Linked DNA regions of Saccharomyces cerevisiae S288C. The gene in region 1 interacts genetically with each later gene. Each region holds a gene or a part of one and is shown in the gene's direction. Other genes may lie near its edges.

The links.
Region 2: of ERG26 (region 1) and CCC2, extra expression of one is lethal in a mutant of the other (dosage lethality), as found in Saccharomyces cerevisiae (one study listed by BioGRID).

Annotation. Positions count from the first base shown.
Region 1 is NC_001139.9:494,416-498,423, reverse strand, and holds ERG26 (sterol-4-alpha-carboxylate 3-dehydrogenase (decarboxylating)), read left to right. Parts: upstream 1-1,921; coding exon 1,922-2,971; downstream 2,972-4,008. Other genes in the region: EFM5 (protein-lysine N-methyltransferase), read left to right, coding at 390-424, 487-965, 1,059-1,291; ERP6 (Erp6p), read right to left, coding at 3,257-3,907. UniProt on the Saccharomyces cerevisiae protein: Sterol-4-alpha-carboxylate 3-dehydrogenase; part of the third module of ergosterol biosynthesis pathway that includes the late steps of the pathway.
Region 2 is NC_001136.10:1,001,738-1,010,041, forward strand, and holds CCC2 (Cu(2+)-transporting P-type ATPase CCC2), read left to right. Parts: upstream 1-3,937; coding exon 3,938-6,952; downstream 6,953-8,304. Other genes in the region: E3 ubiquitin-protein ligase HEL2, read right to left, coding at 1-286; iron-sulfur cluster assembly protein CIA1, read right to left, coding at 773-1,765; tryptophan--tRNA ligase MSW1, read left to right, coding at 2,267-3,406; hydroxyacylglutathione hydrolase GLO2, read left to right, coding at 7,273-8,097. UniProt on the Saccharomyces cerevisiae protein: Copper-transporting P-type ATPase necessary for the proper uptake of iron. Required for export of copper from cytosol into extracytosolic compartment.

The DNA of each region.
Region 1 (4,008 bases):
AATAGACTGTTTTATAATATTTGGTGTACAACATGGGACCTTCAGAGGTACTTTCGGAAATCACGCAAATATTATGCACTAGTAACCCTCAATCTCTAAATAACTTATATTGTCATCTGTAAGGCAGCAAAATCCAAGATGGGCAATGTATATAGGTATATAGTTTAGTATTGTCATCTCATAGAATATCAACTGCATAATATACATGTATATATAATTTCCCATTCATTTAGAGGCTTCTTTTTTCGTCTGTATCGCTGAACCTTATGCCGGTTAAATCTAACAAAATTTTTTTGAACTGGAGGAACTAAAAAAAAAAATATTAATCTTGACTAATATACTAATCAGTCACTTTACATCTTAATGAAACCGAAAGAATCACTGATAAAATGTCCGACTCCGACTCCGACTCCGATTATGAATTGTAAGTACAGGATATTTTCAACACAGTAACGTAGAATTACTAACTAACACGAAACTTAATAGGACACTTTCTGCTAATGCCCTCGCTGCCCTTGAAGAATTCAAAAGAGAGGAACAACAACATCAAGAAGCCTTTCAAAAGCTTTACGACGAAACGGATGAAGACTTCCAAAAGAAAAAAAAAGAAGAAGGGATGAAGCTTTTCAAGGAAGATTGGCAGCTTTCCCAGTTTTGGTACAGCGATGACACAGCCGCAATTTTAGCAGATGCCATATTGGAAGGTGCGGACGAAAACACTGTAATTGCAATAGTTAGTGCGCCATCCGTCTATGCTGCCATTCAAAAGAAACCTACTAATGAAATTCCAACCGAACATATCTACTTGTTCGAATTTGATAAGAGATTCGAGTTGTTAGCTGGAAGAGATCATTTCTTTTTTTATGATTACAATAAACCACTGGACTTCAGTGATGAAATTAAAGGAAAAGTTGATAGATTGTTAATTGACCCACCTTTTTTAAATGAAGATTGTCAAACAAAGTGTATGTATATCATAAACATATCCCTACTCATTTTTTAATCTTTTTTCCAGTATCTTTTCATCTTACTAACTGTTATTCATTGATATAAAATAGCCTCTATCACTGCAAAGTGTTTATTAGCGCCAAATGACAACTCTAAAACTAAGAAAGGAGTTTTTAAGCACCGCCTCATAAGTTGTACTGGTGAAAGAATGTCTGAAGTCATATCCAAAGTTTATTCTGACACAAGAATAACAACTTTTCTTCCTGAACATTCTAATGGTTTGAGTAACGAATTTAGGTGCTACGCAAATTTTGAATGTAGTTCATGGAAATTTGCTTCTTGAGCTTTTTAAGAGCTTCGATAAATTTGAAAATTAATTGTACTACATAAAAAATATGTAAACATCAATATATATAATATAATCACATTTCAAATATATCACGTGTTATATTTACTATATAAAAATTCAATAAATAAAAAGTTAGAAGATAAAAATTATATTATACATATTTTTATTTTTATTATAATTTTTGTTTTTGCCTTCCGAAAAGAAAATAGTTTTTTGTATTACGGAAATTACAGAAAAATGTTTAATTTTGATTTCATATTTTTTCTTTCTTTGAAAGAATATTGACGACAAAGTATTGGATAATTATAATGCAAGGAAAGGATATTTGTAGATCTTCGGTTCAATGAAAGTTAATGCGGTATGAATATTGCTTTCTCCAGGACCTTTTTTTTTTTTTAGAGGCTATTTTATTGTCGGTGTTTGTGGATTTTATATTTCTCGGTCCGATAGTCCCTATAGATCGTTTATTGTTCTCTCGAGAAATGGTATCGTTTAAAAATCTCATATAAGCCTGCAAGGAAAAGATTATGCTGCAGCTATAAAATAGAATAGACAACAATATAGATTGTCAATTTTGTCCAATTTTATTTGCAACTCTACCTGGAAGGGCAAACAAAAATAAATATGTCAAAGATAGATTCAGTTTTAATTATCGGTGGTTCTGGTTTTCTTGGATTGCACTTAATTCAGCAATTTTTTGATATTAATCCTAAGCCAGACATCCACATTTTTGATGTTAGAGATCTCCCTGAAAAACTTTCAAAACAGTTTACTTTTAATGTAGACGACATAAAATTTCATAAGGGTGATTTAACATCACCTGATGATATGGAAAACGCAATTAACGAAAGTAAAGCAAATGTTGTTGTTCATTGTGCTTCTCCAATGCATGGTCAAAATCCAGATATTTATGACATAGTGAATGTTAAGGGAACCCGTAACGTGATAGATATGTGCAAGAAATGTGGCGTTAATATACTTGTATATACTTCCTCTGCTGGTGTTATTTTTAATGGGCAAGATGTGCACAATGCAGACGAAACCTGGCCAATCCCAGAAGTTCCTATGGATGCGTACAATGAGACTAAAGCTATCGCCGAAGATATGGTCTTGAAGGCGAATGATCCAAGCAGTGATTTCTATACTGTTGCTCTTCGTCCAGCTGGTATTTTTGGCCCAGGTGATAGGCAATTAGTACCTGGTCTAAGACAGGTTGCGAAATTGGGGCAGTCGAAGTTCCAAATTGGTGATAATAACAATCTATTTGATTGGACTTATGCTGGAAATGTTGCTGACGCGCATGTGTTAGCTGCACAGAAACTTCTCGATCCAAAAACAAGAACTGCTGTCTCGGGTGAAACTTTTTTCATTACCAATGATACCCCCACCTATTTTTGGGCCTTGGCCCGTACTGTGTGGAAGGCAGATGGTCATATTGATAAACATGTTATTGTTTTGAAAAGGCCAGTTGCAATTTGTGCAGGTTATCTTTCAGAATGGGTATCCAAGATGCTGGGTAAAGAGCCAGGTTTGACTCCATTCAGAGTCAAGATTGTGTGTGCATACCGTTATCACAACATTGCTAAGGCCAAAAAGTTGCTAGGCTACACACCAAGAGTTGGTATTGAAGAAGGAATTAACAAAACGTTGGCCTGGATGGACGAAGGTTTGTAATGGCAATCGTTAGGAGCTTTTTGATCCGATTATCGAAAGATAGTATGTTGAAATAGCATATCTGATACGCACCGTATATATTTATTCTGTCTTTATAGATGAATAATAAGAATTGAAACACCTAAAACATCTTGATGACTAGGTTAGTATATATATGTATACACTCATTTAATGACTACACTATGAAGCGTCGGGGTAATGCATGTAAATAAATAGAAATAAATCATTGAAACAACGAAATTCTCATGTATGCCTGCTAAGGATTCAATTTTTTGATATGTACGGTCATAATACTTTCTGCTTAACAAAAAACGAGCGTAAACTTTTCATTTGCCATACACAAATTATAATGAGAAGAGTAACTTGAGTTACCGTCCACCACATTGCGCGAGAATTCACAGACTCTGATATGTCTCTAAAGGATTCTTCACGTTCTCTCATCAGTTGTTGCTCTCTCCTGATATCCACGATCTTAGAATTCAATATACTGACTTTTCCGTGCAAACTTTCCAAGGTTTCTTTTCTTTGCATGTCCAACATTGCTTCAAAACCGACTTCAAATTCGATTTCTAACTTTGTTTTGGTTTTCCCTACCCAGTTATTTACCCTAGACTGTAAACAGATCTTATATTCTCCAGATTCCAAAGCTAGAAAGCTGAAGTCACCGGAAGGAGAGCCCTGTTGGTGGACTACCCTATGATTATTATCAAAGACTTCTTCCACATCTATGACAATGCCATAGTCATTATAACTGGGAAGCGCATAATCTGCCAACTTATCATCGTAAACTTCCAAATTGTAAGAACCTTTTAAAAGGGTGTCTTTGGATAGTTCCTTCAGGAAGCATTTTCTGTCTCCACCATAACCATAGAAGTAAAACGCGGAAACTCTGAATGGCAATAAAACGAATGCCAGGAAGATGTAGTGTGATAACATTGGCAAATCTAGATCCTTTCAGATTGAGGCGATAAGGAAGAAAGCGCCAACAATCTGTTCACAACCTCACCAATAAAGTCTATCAGTAGAGATTTTAACTA
Region 2 (8,304 bases), on another chromosome or scaffold:
TGTACAAAGCTCGTTGTCTGAAACCACAGATATGGCATGTCTTATGATGGCATGGTGTTAGAGATACGTATGTTAACTTGCGCGCACAAATTACACATAATTCATTTTCTTCATCAGTATCATCTGCGCTTGAAGTGGTGAGGTTGGGTTCAGCAGAAAGGTTATTTTTCTTTTGCTTTCTTCTGAAATTCTTCCTGTCGTTGTGAGGTTTTGTATTATTTTGGGGCCCTTGAGTACGACGGAAGTTACGTGTCGGAGTAACGTTTTCTTTCACTGATTCGCTCATCCTAATTCTTGAAAAGAAGTATAGCCACTATTTTTTCGACGAAAGAGACTGTATCAAAATGCACTTTATGGATCTTTTTCAGCTAGGTATGCGCTCGACGATTTGTTGAATATGGCTGAGTGGGCAGTCGTTCAGATGCCCTTTTCAAAATCTTAAGAGAAAATCAGAAAATATAGCTATTATTAAGAGTGACCGCGAGTATGAAACTTTCAGTGTAACCTTTCTTTATTCGAGATAATGCTTAATTACAAGTCTTCCGAATATCTAATTTTTTTTTTTTTCATTTTTAAATTTCAGTTTTTACCGCATGCTTTTAATGCAGGGATATGTATAACGAGGTCACTCCGTCACACATGACAGAATTGCGTTATAGTGATACAAAGGTTTATGTAACTAGGTAGAAAAATCGTCATTAAGTTTATTTTTAGAATTCAGATCGATCACTGTGTTAATATGAGTTCCTGAATTGTACTCTTGCTTCTACATCTACGCTGCTTTTTCTAGAGACCAGAAATTTACGATCCCGTCGTCACCGCCTGTTGCAAGTATAGTTTTACCATTTAACTCCAACCACTTCACAACGTTGATTTCATAAACTCCATGACATAATGCACGTTTAGCAAAAACTTTCCATTCTCCGTCTACTTCTTCATAGACCGCTAGTACTCCATCCGCTCCTACACTAGCAATGAGGCCATTAAAGCCCCATGCAACATTGTATACCTGTCTTTTGTGTACATCCGGGAGAATAGCTTCACAAACCCATTCTTGTTGATCATCCTCGTCGTCACCCATGTATTTCCATACCCGTACAGTGGAATCGTCGCTTCCACTGCACAGTCTAAACACGCCCTCAGTCTTGTCAAAATCAGAAGACCAAACAGTTCCTTCATGGCCATTTAAGACAGCAACACATTCCCAGTCATCGTCATAGTCTTTCCATATCCTGACGGTGTCATCATAAGAACTTGAAGCCAGTAATGCTTCAGATGGATGCCATATAACATGTTTAACGTCTTGTGAATGTTCTTGCAAAACACTAATACACTCATATTCCTCGCCACTTTCATCTGTTTCCCATATCCACACGCTTTTATCTCTGGAACAGGTTGCTAGGTAATATCCATCATTCGACCACGCTACACCTTTTACTTCATTTTCGTGACCTTCGATAATAGCTAGCAGGTCCATCTCGAAAGTTCTGTCAGCAGATTCTTCCTTAGCCCAGATAGATACAGTGGAATCAAAAGAGCCAGCCGCTAACAGCGAAGTGTGAGGTCTCCACGCCACAGATCGAATCGCCTTTTTATGAGCAGTCTCATCTAGCACATCAATTAACGTAAAATCGTCATATTTCACGCTAACTAGCTTAATTTTTCGATCAGTTGAACCTGTTGCTAATATACCTTGAGAAAAGTCAAAAGACCATATCTTTTCCTTGTAAAGTTTCAAAGACTTAATCAGATTGATAGACGCCATTACCAAATAAGTAAACCAATTGAACTATTAAAATGTCGTGGTATAGCCCGATTTTGATTTGTGATATCTACAAATCTAGTATTTATTCGCAATTAATGAGGCAAAGACGATACAATATTCGATGTGAGATTTTTCAAAACACGGCCCGCTGAGAGCAGAAAGTTTTAGATGACCTATTTGAAGGCAATCACGATGGTATTTTTCAAGAAAATAAATAGTAGTAACACTGCTATGCACATCAGAGTCAGATTCCTTAAATTCAAACGTTTCTACAATTAGTATGACCTTTTCTTGAAGATCTTTTTCTCCTTATAAAGGCAACACAAAACAAGATAGAAGTGCAAAGGTATTTTTTGTTTTTCACGTGATAAAATCGGCTTCGAGAAAGTAGAAAAGGGTATTATGATTTATTACAGGCTACCTGCACCATCTCAAAGGTTTTACGTTACTAAGGAGTGAATCAGGTTTTGATAAATATTTACACTATCTTTTACAAGGAAGATGTCGAATAAGCAGGCGGTTCTGAAGTTAATCAGTAAAAGGTGGATAAGCACAGTGCAACGTGCCGATTTTAAGCTGAATTCCGAAGCGCTTCATAGTAATGCTACGGTATTTAGTATGATTCAGCCAACTGGGTGTTTCCACCTTGGTAATTATCTAGGTGCTACACGTGTTTGGACAGACTTATGTGAATTAAAACAACCTGGCCAGGAATTGATATTTGGAGTTGCTGATTTACACGCTATCACTGTTCCAAAGCCAGATGGAGAAATGTTTAGAAAATTTCGCCATGAGGCAGTAGCAAGTATACTGGCTGTCGGTGTAGATCCAGAAAAGGCTTCGGTGATCTACCAATCCGCCATCCCTCAACACAGTGAATTACACTGGTTGCTTTCTACTCTTGCCTCGATGGGATTACTTAACCGCATGACGCAATGGAAATCAAAATCGAATATCAAACAATCAACTAATGGGGATTATCTGGTTAACGATTCTGACGTGGGAAAAGTTAGACTGGGCTTATTTTCGTATCCTGTTTTACAGGCAGCGGATATTCTACTTTATAAATCTACACACGTTCCTGTTGGCGATGATCAATCGCAGCATTTGGAACTAACAAGACACCTTGCTGAAAAGTTTAACAAAATGTACAAGAAAAATTTTTTTCCTAAACCTGTAACTATGTTGGCACAAACGAAAAAAGTTTTGAGCTTAAGCACGCCTGAAAAGAAAATGTCCAAGAGTGATCCGAATCACGACTCTGTAATTTTTTTGAATGATGAGCCTAAGGCAATTCAGAAAAAGATTAGAAAAGCTTTAACAGATTCCATTTCTGATAGGTTCTACTACGACCCTGTAGAAAGACCAGGCGTATCGAATTTAATTAACATTGTCAGTGGCATTCAAAGAAAATCGATTGAAGATGTCGTAGAAGATGTATCTCGTTTCAATAACTATAGGGATTTCAAAGATTATGTTTCAGAAGTGATAATTGAGGAATTGAAAGGCCCAAGAACAGAATTTGAGAAATATATCAACGAACCGACCTATTTGCATAGTGTCGTTGAATCTGGCATGCGCAAAGCGAGAGAAAAAGCAGCAAAAAACCTGGCCGACATTCATAAAATAATGGGCTTCTGACTGTCCCCGGCTTTAGGCTGCTGCAAACGCAATGTAAATAATAATACAGTTTAACTTGTACGTATCTTTGTTATTTCAGAATATGCAAGATTCCTCACTCGGCAGATCTCATCAATAAACGTTAGTATCTTGAAAAATACGCAGATGTTGGTACAGTCTCTTGCAGAGGGCCAGCACCGTTAGAATGTTGTGTTGCCACCGTCTGGCTCGAAAACAGGTCGATCTGTGTAAGTATTGTCCTGGGTGCAGTTATTTGTAGTAGCGATTTTCGCGGGCAGTGGAAAAGAACGGGTGCAGTGCGGCGATGAGTGCAATTAGCTGCCGAAGGGTTTGCACCGGTGATTCCGAGACCTTTTGCACACACTTGTATATATTTAGGGAAGTCACGGTAACTAATGGATTTCTTCTCAAATTTGAGACATATGGATTAGACTTTAATTCTGCCTGGTACTAAGCTACTTTTCAAAGGTATTTGAGATATTTCGTAAATTTTGCGGCCAAGGAGTTGAGGTGTTTAATACTTAAAACGAAATGAGAGAAGTGATACTTGCTGTACATGGAATGACATGCAGCGCCTGTACTAATACAATCAATACGCAGTTACGAGCTTTAAAGGGTGTAACAAAATGTGATATTAGTTTAGTGACTAATGAGTGCCAGGTGACATACGATAACGAGGTTACCGCCGATTCTATTAAGGAAATTATAGAGGATTGTGGATTTGACTGTGAGATACTAAGAGATTCTGAAATTACAGCCATAAGTACGAAGGAAGGACTACTGAGTGTACAAGGTATGACCTGTGGGTCTTGTGTTTCTACAGTCACCAAACAAGTGGAAGGCATTGAGGGTGTTGAATCGGTAGTCGTTTCCTTGGTAACGGAAGAGTGCCATGTTATTTATGAACCGTCCAAGACAACGCTAGAAACCGCCAGAGAAATGATTGAAGACTGTGGATTTGACTCAAATATTATTATGGATGGCAACGGGAATGCAGACATGACCGAAAAAACGGTGATCTTGAAAGTAACTAAGGCTTTCGAGGACGAATCCCCACTCATACTTTCTTCAGTAAGCGAAAGGTTTCAATTTTTGTTAGACCTAGGTGTAAAATCGATAGAAATTTCTGATGATATGCACACACTCACCATAAAATACTGTTGTAACGAACTCGGCATTAGAGATTTATTGAGGCACCTTGAGAGGACCGGATATAAATTCACTGTATTTTCCAATTTAGATAATACTACCCAGTTAAGGCTTCTCTCTAAAGAGGACGAGATAAGATTCTGGAAAAAAAACAGCATAAAATCCACCCTTTTGGCTATAATATGTATGCTATTGTATATGATTGTCCCTATGATGTGGCCAACAATTGTTCAGGACCGCATATTCCCTTACAAAGAAACCTCCTTTGTTAGAGGTCTGTTCTACAGAGATATTTTGGGTGTAATATTGGCAAGCTATATTCAGTTCAGCGTTGGTTTTTACTTTTACAAGGCAGCATGGGCATCTTTAAAGCACGGTTCAGGAACCATGGATACACTAGTTTGTGTTTCCACTACTTGTGCATACACATTTTCTGTGTTTTCTTTAGTTCACAATATGTTCCATCCCTCAAGTACTGGCAAACTCCCAAGGATCGTTTTCGACACATCAATCATGATCATTTCATATATTTCCATCGGGAAATATTTGGAAACTTTAGCTAAATCACAAACATCAACCGCACTTTCTAAATTAATTCAGCTCACTCCATCGGTGTGTTCAATTATATCTGACGTGGAGCGGAATGAAACCAAGGAAATTCCCATAGAATTATTGCAAGTGAACGATATAGTGGAGATTAAACCAGGGATGAAAATTCCTGCTGATGGCATCATAACAAGAGGTGAATCTGAAATTGACGAGTCGTTAATGACAGGCGAATCCATTTTGGTGCCCAAGAAAACTGGTTTTCCGGTTATTGCTGGTTCTGTTAATGGACCTGGACATTTCTACTTCAGAACTACTACCGTTGGGGAGGAAACTAAATTAGCAAATATTATCAAGGTAATGAAAGAAGCACAATTGAGTAAAGCTCCCATTCAGGGGTATGCAGATTATTTAGCCTCTATTTTTGTTCCGGGGATCCTAATTTTGGCAGTATTGACTTTCTTTATTTGGTGTTTTATTTTAAACATCTCGGCTAATCCTCCCGTCGCTTTCACCGCAAATACTAAGGCTGATAATTTTTTTATTTGCTTACAAACTGCTACTTCTGTTGTCATCGTCGCATGCCCATGTGCATTGGGACTTGCCACGCCGACTGCTATAATGGTGGGTACAGGGGTTGGAGCTCAGAATGGTGTCTTAATAAAGGGCGGAGAAGTATTGGAAAAATTCAATAGTATTACTACTTTTGTTTTTGATAAAACAGGTACCTTAACTACAGGTTTTATGGTTGTGAAAAAGTTCCTTAAAGATTCAAATTGGGTTGGAAACGTGGATGAAGACGAAGTTCTCGCCTGTATAAAAGCAACGGAATCCATTAGTGACCATCCAGTTTCGAAAGCAATTATACGTTATTGTGATGGTTTGAACTGTAATAAGGCTTTAAATGCCGTTGTTTTAGAAAGCGAATACGTGCTTGGAAAGGGAATAGTCTCAAAGTGTCAAGTTAATGGAAATACTTATGATATTTGTATTGGGAACGAGGCGCTGATTTTGGAGGATGCATTAAAAAAATCCGGATTTATTAACAGTAATGTCGACCAAGGAAACACTGTATCATACGTATCAGTAAACGGGCATGTGTTTGGCTTGTTCGAGATTAATGATGAAGTTAAACATGATTCTTACGCAACAGTTCAGTATCTACAAAGAAATGGATATGAAACGTATATGATTACTGGCGATAATAACTCAGCAGCAAAAAGAGTCGCTAGAGAAGTAGGTATAAGCTTCGAAAATGTTTACAGCGATGTGTCACCCACAGGCAAATGTGATCTCGTGAAAAAAATTCAAGATAAAGAAGGTAATAACAAGGTTGCTGTTGTTGGCGATGGCATTAACGACGCTCCCGCTTTAGCACTGAGTGATCTAGGTATTGCCATTTCAACAGGTACGGAGATTGCTATTGAAGCAGCTGATATTGTTATACTGTGCGGTAATGATCTGAATACTAATAGTTTGAGAGGACTGGCCAACGCCATCGATATTTCACTAAAAACGTTCAAAAGAATAAAGCTGAATTTGTTCTGGGCACTTTGCTATAATATATTCATGATTCCGATTGCTATGGGTGTGCTCATTCCTTGGGGCATAACTCTTCCTCCAATGCTCGCCGGTTTAGCGATGGCATTCAGCTCGGTCAGTGTCGTTCTAAGTTCATTGATGTTGAAGAAGTGGACTCCACCGGATATTGAATCACATGGGATTTCAGATTTCAAGTCCAAATTTTCGATTGGGAATTTTTGGTCAAGGCTTTTTTCTACGCGGGCTATTGCAGGTGAGCAAGACATAGAATCACAGGCCGGACTAATGTCAAACGAAGAAGTCTTGTAAATAACAGGTAAGTCTAATTTATTTAAAAAAATCCACGAGCATATAGATTTATAACAATAATAATAATTAATATTCATCAATTTTTTAGTAAATTCATATATTTTACTCCTACTCTATGTATTTTCAGTAAGTCTACTAGTCGTATTACCCGTCGGTTTCAAGGGATATTATGGAGGTAATAAGGATTTTTTTACCGATTTAAAAACCCATTATATCCCTCTTAGAAAAATTTTAGTATTCTTAGATAAGTTGCTAGATTTACCAATATCAAAGGGAAGACTGCAGGACAACACAAAAACACAAGAAAAGGAGGACAAAAAATGCAGGTTAAATCGATTAAAATGAGATGGGAGTCTGGTGGTGTTAATTACTGCTATCTATTGTCCGACAGTAAAAATAAAAAATCGTGGCTAATCGATCCAGCAGAGCCTCCTGAGGTTCTGCCAGAGTTGACTGAGGATGAGAAAATAAGTGTTGAAGCAATTGTTAATACACATCACCATTATGACCATGCAGATGGTAACGCTGATATCTTGAAGTATTTAAAAGAGAAAAATCCAACTTCAAAAGTTGAGGTTATAGGAGGGTCAAAGGACTGCCCAAAGGTTACGATAATTCCGGAGAATTTGAAAAAGTTACACCTAGGTGACTTAGAGATTACTTGTATTAGGACGCCCTGCCATACCAGAGACTCTATCTGTTATTATGTGAAAGATCCAACAACAGATGAGCGCTGCATTTTTACTGGCGATACACTATTTACCGCTGGTTGCGGTAGGTTTTTTGAGGGTACAGGCGAAGAAATGGATATAGCTCTGAACAATTCTATCTTAGAAACTGTGGGCAGGCAGAACTGGAGTAAAACGAGGGTTTATCCAGGACACGAATACACAAGTGATAATGTAAAGTTTGTTCGTAAGATTTACCCGCAAGTTGGTGAAAATAAAGCATTGGATGAGTTAGAACAATTCTGCTCCAAGCATGAAGTCACAGCAGGGCGGTTCACTTTGAAAGATGAGGTAGAATTTAATCCATTCATGAGATTAGAAGATCCAAAGGTCCAAAAAGCTGCCGGAGATACGAATAATTCATGGGACAGAGCTCAAATTATGGATAAATTGAGAGCTATGAAAAACCGTATGTAGGAAAGCCAACAGAGTATAATATACTTAAAAATATTCTTTTAGCATACCCTTTTATTTCAATGTATAAGAGTTTTTGGAACGCTACTTTATAACATTCAGGTCTGTTCACTAGAACTCTTGTAGTTGTGCCGTCATAAAAATTAGTCTTCGCGTGGCTGAAAGAAAAGTTCCAATAATACGGGCGGCTCGAGTAGAGTAATCATTGCC